Linked DNA regions of Oryzias latipes. The protein of the gene in region 1 purifies or fractionates together with the protein of each later gene. This does not show direct contact. Links are inferred from orthologs where the notes say so. Each region holds a gene or a part of one and is shown in the gene's direction. Other genes may lie near its edges.

Region 1 (3,824 bases):
CACGCAGCAAGGTCAGTAAAGCCCCGCCTCTGATGACTGTTTCCATCCTGTATTTGTGTTTTCAGCATATATATGAATTTTTCCCAAGTTTACCTATTTAGAAGATGACATGTTTTTGTTTCAGATAAATATTTTGATTGACAGTAATGCTTTTTGGGGTATATTGGTGTTGGAAGCCCAATTGACCTTTGATCTCTTGCAGTCTGTATGTTCAAAGATGTCATAGGCGACACTCGAATAATACACGCTCTTTGATGTACATCTGTCCCCTACGAGATCCCCACTGACTGTCTTTCCAGAAAAACTTTCCATCCCATAACAGACTCTGGTCGGCGTTCACAGCTTCAGACACGCCCCCTCCGCGCGTTCACGCTGCCCTCTTCCTCCTGCCCGCTCGCACTACCTGATGGTGTTGAAGGCACCACAGCAATCTTGGAACATGGTGGTTATTTTACCAAACCACGGAGAGCCGCTACACAGGGATGATAGAGCCGCATGCATCTCCGGTGCCGCCGGTTGCCGACCCCTGGTTTATGGGATGAAGGCGAATCAGCCGATTCTGACGCCCAGAAAAGCGGCTTTTCATATCGGCTTTGCACAAATAAATGACGCAAGGCTGCTTTCCTCCATGACAGAATTACTTGATTTATGTTGATCTCGGAAGCACTTCATTACCATAGGGTGTGGCATTTTTCTCCTCTTTGGAATCCGTTGGTATTGTATTAATGGCGTCAACGGATGTAGAGTTACAGACGTAGAAAGAATGTGAACCAGAGCTCCAGTGTAAAAGGGTTCATGTCAGTCATATGGAGAGCAAGCAATCAATGCATCAAAAATGCAAGCTTTACTGAATAAATAGTTCCAGGAAGAAAAATATCTAGATTTTTACGGCATGCTCTTTGAGTCCACATCCTTCATTCACCATGGCAACCGTAAAACCTGTTGTACAACAGCCAATAAGCAGCGCAAACCTGCAATGACCAGGAAATCGTACAATTGATAAATATTTGATGTATTGTGATCCTCCATGAATGATTGATTTCAAAGATGAGATGATAAAAATACATATGTTTGTAAAATCTATTTCAGATATTCATTCATAACTTAATGAAAATGAATAGCAAAGGATGCTATCTTCTTGACATTATAATTGCTCTCTTTTTTTAATAATTATTTTAATCATTTTGATAATAGTTCTAATAATATTTTTATTAATTAGTTTTAATAAAAATTGTTAATAATTTGATATGAATGTCCTTTTTGATGTTATATTATATATATTATTTCTGAATGTCGTTGTTGCTGCTGCAGATAAATGAAATTTCCCCATCGTGGGATTAATAAAGTCATCTATAAACACAATAGCACACAAGACTAGGGTGTGACGAAATATGGGTCTGAATGTTCATATTAATAATTAAAGTACATCATTGTGAATTTTTAATTCCACTGAGGCTATTTGATATACATTTTAGTTCATAATTGGAGCTTTGTTCATTAGTTATCATTAAGTGTATGTTTTTATTACAAAGACACAGCAGTATTTATTGATCATTTTATTTTACTGTTGCAAAGGATGGTTAAATTCATATATTGTGTTTTAAATTGTTTAAAAAAAAGGTTTCATCGAAAATAAAGATATATTTGTTTATATAATAGTGGTATATTAGATGATCAAGGTAACATTGATAATTGCAATATGAAATTGTGATCCATGTATGGTGAATCACGTCGTATCGAGAGTCACCCTGAGATTCCCTTCCCTGCACATGATGCATTGAATCCATTAAATATGATCCCCCAATAGAGTTTAAGTACTTAAATAAGGTTTTGTGAGTCATGTGACCGACAGCAACACAATACTTTTGCATTTATAATGGAGAAGCCAGAATTACACCACAAAAGTGGCCTTTTAATCTGAAAGTTCATAATTGTTGCTAAATTTGCTAAAAGATTTTAAGGATTTGTCACAGCTACAACCCTTTATTTTAAGCCATATTGAATTTGTTTTAATAGTTGTGATTGTGACGCCCCTCTTCTATAGGGATAGATGAAAATGTAATCCTTTGGTGATGGCGTGGCTCTATTCTGAGAACGCTTGCATAGGATTGAATTTCTTTTCCACCTTTCATTTGTTTTCTGTAGGTGTACCGGTTCCTGAAGGCATTCCTGGATGGAGTACGGCCATGATAACCCTCTGCAACATCACCAATGCCTCTGATGTGCAGACTGCCAACCGACCACCCAACGTCGCTCATGTAAAAAGCTTCTTCACACACACTTACTGCTGCCCATCTCCATCTATCTCCTCTGTGGTTAATCCTTCTAATGCAGTTGGGAGGACTCTGAGTTCAGTTTTTGGTATTTGCCAAGGGTGTGTTTGTCAATGAACGTTGTCGTGACGATGGATGAGATTATCCACCTTGAAGAGTGACATGATGCCTGAAGAATGGAGTAAAAGTGTATTTTGAAAAACAAGAGGGACGTTCTGAGTTGTGGAAACAGAGGAATAAGCTGATGAGTCGCATAAAGAAGTTATTAGGAGTAGTGGAAACTAGACTGAAGTCAGACATGAACATTTATGATCAACAATATGGCTTCAGGCAAAAGAAGACAACAGATGCGATGGAAGTCTGGAGTGGCAGGAAAGTATCTATCAGAGGAACAGCTCATGATGGATGCTATGGAGGTGGATGCCAGCAAACAGATTGAGATCTGTGGGCATGTTGAGAGGAGGATCAGTAGTTCTGTTGGTAAAAGGTGATAAGACTGGAGTGATATGTGGGAAAAGAAAGAAGGTTCATGGATGTAATGGAGGACATGACGGGGGTTGATGTCGGGGGAGGGTGGATAGAAATGGATGGAGGCTGTTGATTCACTGTGGCGACCACTAAAGGGAGCAGCAGGAAAGTCAAGAAGAATCATTCTGACCACTTTGGTTTAGTAAACAAATGAGTAATTCACGATCAGGATTTAGATTTGGTGTTCTATGGTGATGGGTTTCAGTGACCTGCACTTCATAACCATCATTCAATGACTGCAGCTGAAAAAAACAGTTTTTGAATCCCAGCCTGGCAAAACGTTTGCTCCACAGGGTTTGATCAGGCCTTAAGTTCATGGTTGTCAGTAAAAAGGCCTTTAAAGCTAAGGCTACATGGGGGTGTCGTGGTTAGCTCTCTTGCCTCACAGCAGAACGCCCTGCTTGAAATTCCAGCTGGACTTGGCATACTCTCCTCGTCCACGTGTGGGATTTCTGCGGGGACTCCAGCTCCGTCCCTCTGTCCAAACACATGATCCATAGATAAATTGGTGATTCAAAATTGTCCCCAAGTGTGAATGTGTGGACCTGAAATAGACTGACGACCTGCTCAGCATAAACCCCCCTTCACTCAACAGCAGCTGGGATAGGCTCCAGCAACCCACTGACCCTGAAAGGAATGCATTGGGATCTGAAAATGAATGAATGGATGGATGGGCTTTTAAAACTAGGGATGGGTATTGTTAAGATTCGATCAATACTACTCCTCTTATCAATGTGGCATCAATCCGGTATTCTTATTGATACTTTTCTACGTGAAAAACAGGAGGGAGAAGACAAATAACAAACCATGTACATGAAAACCATTTAACATTGCATGTCGGATACTTTATTGTTACAGATTATACTGTTATAATTTTACACCTTATAGATCATATTATAAGGTATTATTATTATGGTCTGCGTCTGCATCAAAATTGACAGTAAATGCTGTCGTTGTTTGTAAACTTGGCTGAATCTGAACCTGAAGTACTTTTATTTAACACTAAACTTGAGTATTACTAAC
Region 2 (4,426 bases), about 12 Mb from region 1:
ACCCCTTCTTAACTTGATGACCTTATAGGTCTGCTACAAAAGGGATGCTCCTCCTTTGTCTTCTCAAGAAACTGATGGGGAGAGGTGAAGCAGTTTAGATCAGATGGAACATATGGTGGTAAGTGAGGTCCATGTCACTCAAAATCTTTCTCATTACTACAACCTGTGTAACTGATTGAGTTTACCCTGTGCTGACTGCTTTGTTATTTAAAAATTTAATAAAATACTGTAAAAAAATAAGTTTTTTCTTTTTCTTTTTAAGTAAAAAGAACATAAATTGTGTCTGAAACTAACTGAATGTTTGACAACTAGATATCTACTTAAGAAGCCTTTTCCAATCATTTTAATATGATTAAACGTGTAATTAAAAAAAACTCTGTAAATATTTATTCTAATTTGCATTCAGCTTCTGTAACACATAATTACTTTGGTTACAAAAACATTCACACTATTCAAATGATTATTTAAAAATCTCATCTTTAATTTACTATCCATTTAGCCTCATCATTTGCTTGTCATGTGCACGAGTGTGAATGTTACAACTCTGACCATCGGCCTCAAGCCTTTTAGAGTAATTGGGTCAATACTGGTTAGTGGTGTAAATGCACACCAGCGGAAAGGTCAAAACTTAATAAAGGACACTGGTATTGTGCAATGTCTCCAACTCAGTTGATGTCAGAAACCCTACTGACCTTTGAGATCTGATGCAAAAAAAGACAGGTGAATTCTTCAACAATCAGTGGTGCTGATAAGCTTCTGAGAACTTTTGGATCAGACTAAATTACTGATGTCACCGATATTACAAGTAAAGTACACTTAAAATGTCTTTCCCCTTTTTAAGCATCATAATATTCAATAAACCATTAGTGACATTACAAAAATATTTGTTTTTATACACATATACAAGTTTTCGATTTAGTCAGTGTTTAGTTTACATTTTCAAAAGCTTGAGAAGGTGTATTTTGTGTATATTCTGCAAGCGTTTAAAAAATCCCACTACAAAGATGAGGCAGAAAGCTGTTCCTTCCTCAGGAGTGGTTGGAATTTAAAAGTCAAATTTAAAAATATAATAATCTAACAACAGTGTACAATGTTTTTGTCAATAAAGTTTTTTTTGCAATTTGTTGTCCTGATGCTTTGAGGCATTTAAATTATACAACCAAAAATAGTAATGTATGGTCTCAGCCACCAGGGGGAGCTCACGGTTTGGTAAAGCGGTAACCGGGCACAGTTTGAAGGGACGGGGTTATGTTTATGTCCATTTCTTTTACCTCATGGCTTCACCTGGAGATACTCGTCGTGTCTTATCTAAGGAAGCCGGTCAGGCGGTGGATCGTTGCGGGCATGAAAAGCACGCTGAGTCCACGGATAACGATGTTCCATCCAGCCGCTGAAAGCCGACCTCTGGGGACTCTTCTCAAAGTTAACCCTTGCATGTACAGTATGTCTGCCTGATAGGCGATGAATAATGCCATGCCTGCTGTGTATGTGCGTGTGTGTATGCATTTGTGTGTGCGTCTTCGCCCGTGCGTACGTGCGTGTGAGAGAGAGAGAGAGAGAGAGAGAGAGAGAGAGAGAGCGAGACACAGAGAGAGAGAGAGAGAGAGACAGAGAGAGAGAGAGTCTAAAAGGGGACGCTTTAATTTGGTGGCAGAGAGGGGGCAGTTACGGCTATTTTTCTAAACTACCAAAGCCGTTGCGGATGAAATATAACATCTATTCCAGAGTTAGTCATTTATAATTGTAGAAATCCGACGACGGCAGGATCTTTGTCGCTAGAGAAGGTTTGCAGGGGCTGGAAACTGAACTGTTGACACTCCCACCCCCGAAAAGACTAGAATCCAGTTTCCGTCTTTTGGCTACTTCCTGGCCATTATTTTATTTACTAAATGCTGGTATCCCTCCGCAGGGTCAGAGAGTATTTTGAACAGAATGTAAAACGGTTTGCGCTCTGTTTTCTTGCATGTCGTGCTATCAACGTGTTTAAAATCTGACGGGTTTTTGAAGTGGCACCGTCCTGAGGAGTCACGAGGATTACTAGGTATTTGTTTGCTCAAGTTCTGTCAGTAGGTGGTGGATCTAGATTGTTAGGAGCCTGGAGGGGGATGTGGTTCGATGCCACTTATCATTAGATATGGCCATCGTTTTTAGACTACACCGAGGCGTCATCTTTCCCTTAATTTTGTCATAAATCGTGGGAATTTGGGGTTTTGCTCCGCGTGGCAGGCATAATGTTGTTTTTTGCAAACTAGTGTTTGCTTTCCCATATTTTTGGAGCCAGTTGTTACTGCGTGGCAGAGTGGTTACGAGAGTCTTCTAACTAGCCGCTTGGTCCCGCAGCTTGTCGCAGCTGAAGAAAATAGAACCAGTTGTTGCCAACCCAGCAGTCGGCATCCAACATTTGCTTTGCACAACGCTATACCTTTAAAAAGGATTGTGTTACATTGCTTTATTCCCGGGGCTCTTGCAGTGGCGTGTATTTCGGGGTTTCTTTGTGTGTCTGTGTTAATGATAAAAAAAAATTGCTGGCCATAGACTTGGGTGGCTAACGCCAACTAGCTATATAACCTGAACTCGTGCGACGACAGCTGTCATTGGAGAAAGGAAAGTGATCCCAACAAATGCGCCTGCCAGTGAAGCGGTTTTCTGTTGGATTTACATCAGCTGCTTTCCCGTCAAATGGGTAAAGTTTGGAATTACATTGCAACGCTGGAATACAATGCTATAGATGCGCTGTGCATTTTTGAGAAAGGCTGTGTTGTTTCATTGGAGAGAAGCTAGCTAGCCTTGTTAGCTTGCTAGCTAGCTGTGTGATAAAAGTGCGACGTTTTTATTCCCCAGTGTTTTTGGACATGAAGAGGATAATTCGCTGTCCATAGGGCCGGAAGGTAAGATAAAACCCTCACTTGCATTGTGTTTGTGTTGGCTATATTTACCCAGAATTCGCCTTTTCAAATGAGAGTCTGAGCCAACATTATCCTTCAGTCTGATGTTGGGGGAGGTTGTCGCCGCCTTGGCTTTCATGACTCAGACTGTTCAACGGAACGGAACATAAAACGGGACGGTTCATTATATTTTGCATAACGCCGACTTCGGAGGGCAAAAAATATATATATGGGCTTATTGTCGCGTTTATTTATTGCACAAGTCGGCCAATCGGCAGTTGTGTACAGCCGACATCAATTGTTAAAGGTAGACTGTAAACCAAAGCCTTGTATGTTGTGTAACGTATCATTCACTTTTTGTGAAGCATCGTTAGTTCCTCGAAACAGTTCCGCTGGATTGAACAGTCCGAACCTTTGTGTGTTGGACACCGATAAGTATTGGTGCTTTGATGATGATTAATACATATTTAGCGCCATCTTCCTAAAGTCGGTATTAACATCATGAGACATTATGTTTAGCATCTAACCCCAGCCTCCAGTTGCTGTGAGTTGCCAACTAACTACAGCCAGTGGTAACCTGTTTGCTTTGCGAGCCCCTTTAAGTCTCGCTAGTAGTAGTTGATGCCTTTGCCTTTGTACTGTATTGTTTGACGTAGGCATCAGCCTACTTTCAGTTTGACTAATTTTGACAATGCCTATGTTAGGTTCATCTGCCGCAGAAAAGGCGACATTGTTTAAAACAACACGCTAGCCCTCGCTAGCTTTTATGCAGCTGCTTTGTGCCCAAGCTTGGTTTGACAAAAGCTATCGGAAGGCATGTTTTCAATTGTACCCTGGTGGTCGTGACTGCTGCTTACCCAAGCCTTATATGACATGCACAGTCAGTTACATACATGTAATGTTACAAATCTCACAGATCTCCTCTTGTTTCCTCATTGAAAACCAGTGTGGCCCCATATATCCAGCAGAGCTTTTACTGACATGAAATAGAATTTTTTTTTCTTTCCATGTTAACCTTCTTTTGACAAGTGTTTCTAATGGATGTGACCGAGCAGACCTTGTAGTGGAGGCCAGAATTGACATAAATAAAGAAATTATTTAATCCTAGAGTGAATGAAGGGTTTTTGTTCCAGGAAATTACTAAAAACTGGGGTTTTTTGTAACCCATTTGGCCTCGAGCTGTTAAACATATCTACACAAACTATTACTTTTACTTCTACTGTTTTTTTTATTTTTATTTAACTGGAATCTTTTCTAACGCAGCTCTGATGAAAATACTAAATGGACACCTGCCAAAGCTACACAATTTTTTCCCATTAAAATAATTGTTTGCAAAATACCTTCAGGACCACAACAAAAAAGTGTGCCTTTTTACTTTAATAAAGCAAGAATATATACCTAAAATATTAAAATAGGTATATATAATTGCAGACAAGGATTGAATTCTTCTTTTTTTCTGTATGGTGACCATCATATAAAAACATGTTAGTTCTCATACTGTCACTTGGGAAGGAATCAGATCTTAAGGATGAAATCTGCTC

The links.
Region 2: the proteins of paxip1 (region 1) and histone-lysine N-methyltransferase 2C purify together in Homo sapiens (affinity purification with mass spectrometry; 4 studies listed by BioGRID and IntAct, with this or other methods). This does not show direct contact. The link is inferred for Oryzias latipes from reciprocal best matches to the Homo sapiens genes PAXIP1 and KMT2C.

The regions. Positions count from the first base shown.
Region 1 is NC_019875.2:13,222,136-13,225,959, reverse strand, and holds part of paxip1 (PAX-interacting protein 1), read left to right. Parts: coding exon 1-11; intron 12-2,145; coding exon 2,146-2,258; intron 2,259-3,824.
Region 2 is NC_019875.2:25,341,660-25,346,085, forward strand, and holds the start of histone-lysine N-methyltransferase 2C, read left to right. Parts: upstream 1-1,622; 5' UTR 1,623-2,041; exon of another isoform or gene 2,042-2,683; intron 2,684-2,841; 5' UTR 2,842-2,888; intron 2,889-4,426. UniProt on the Homo sapiens protein: Histone methyltransferase that catalyzes methyl group transfer from S-adenosyl-L-methionine to the epsilon-amino group of 'Lys-4' of histone H3 (H3K4).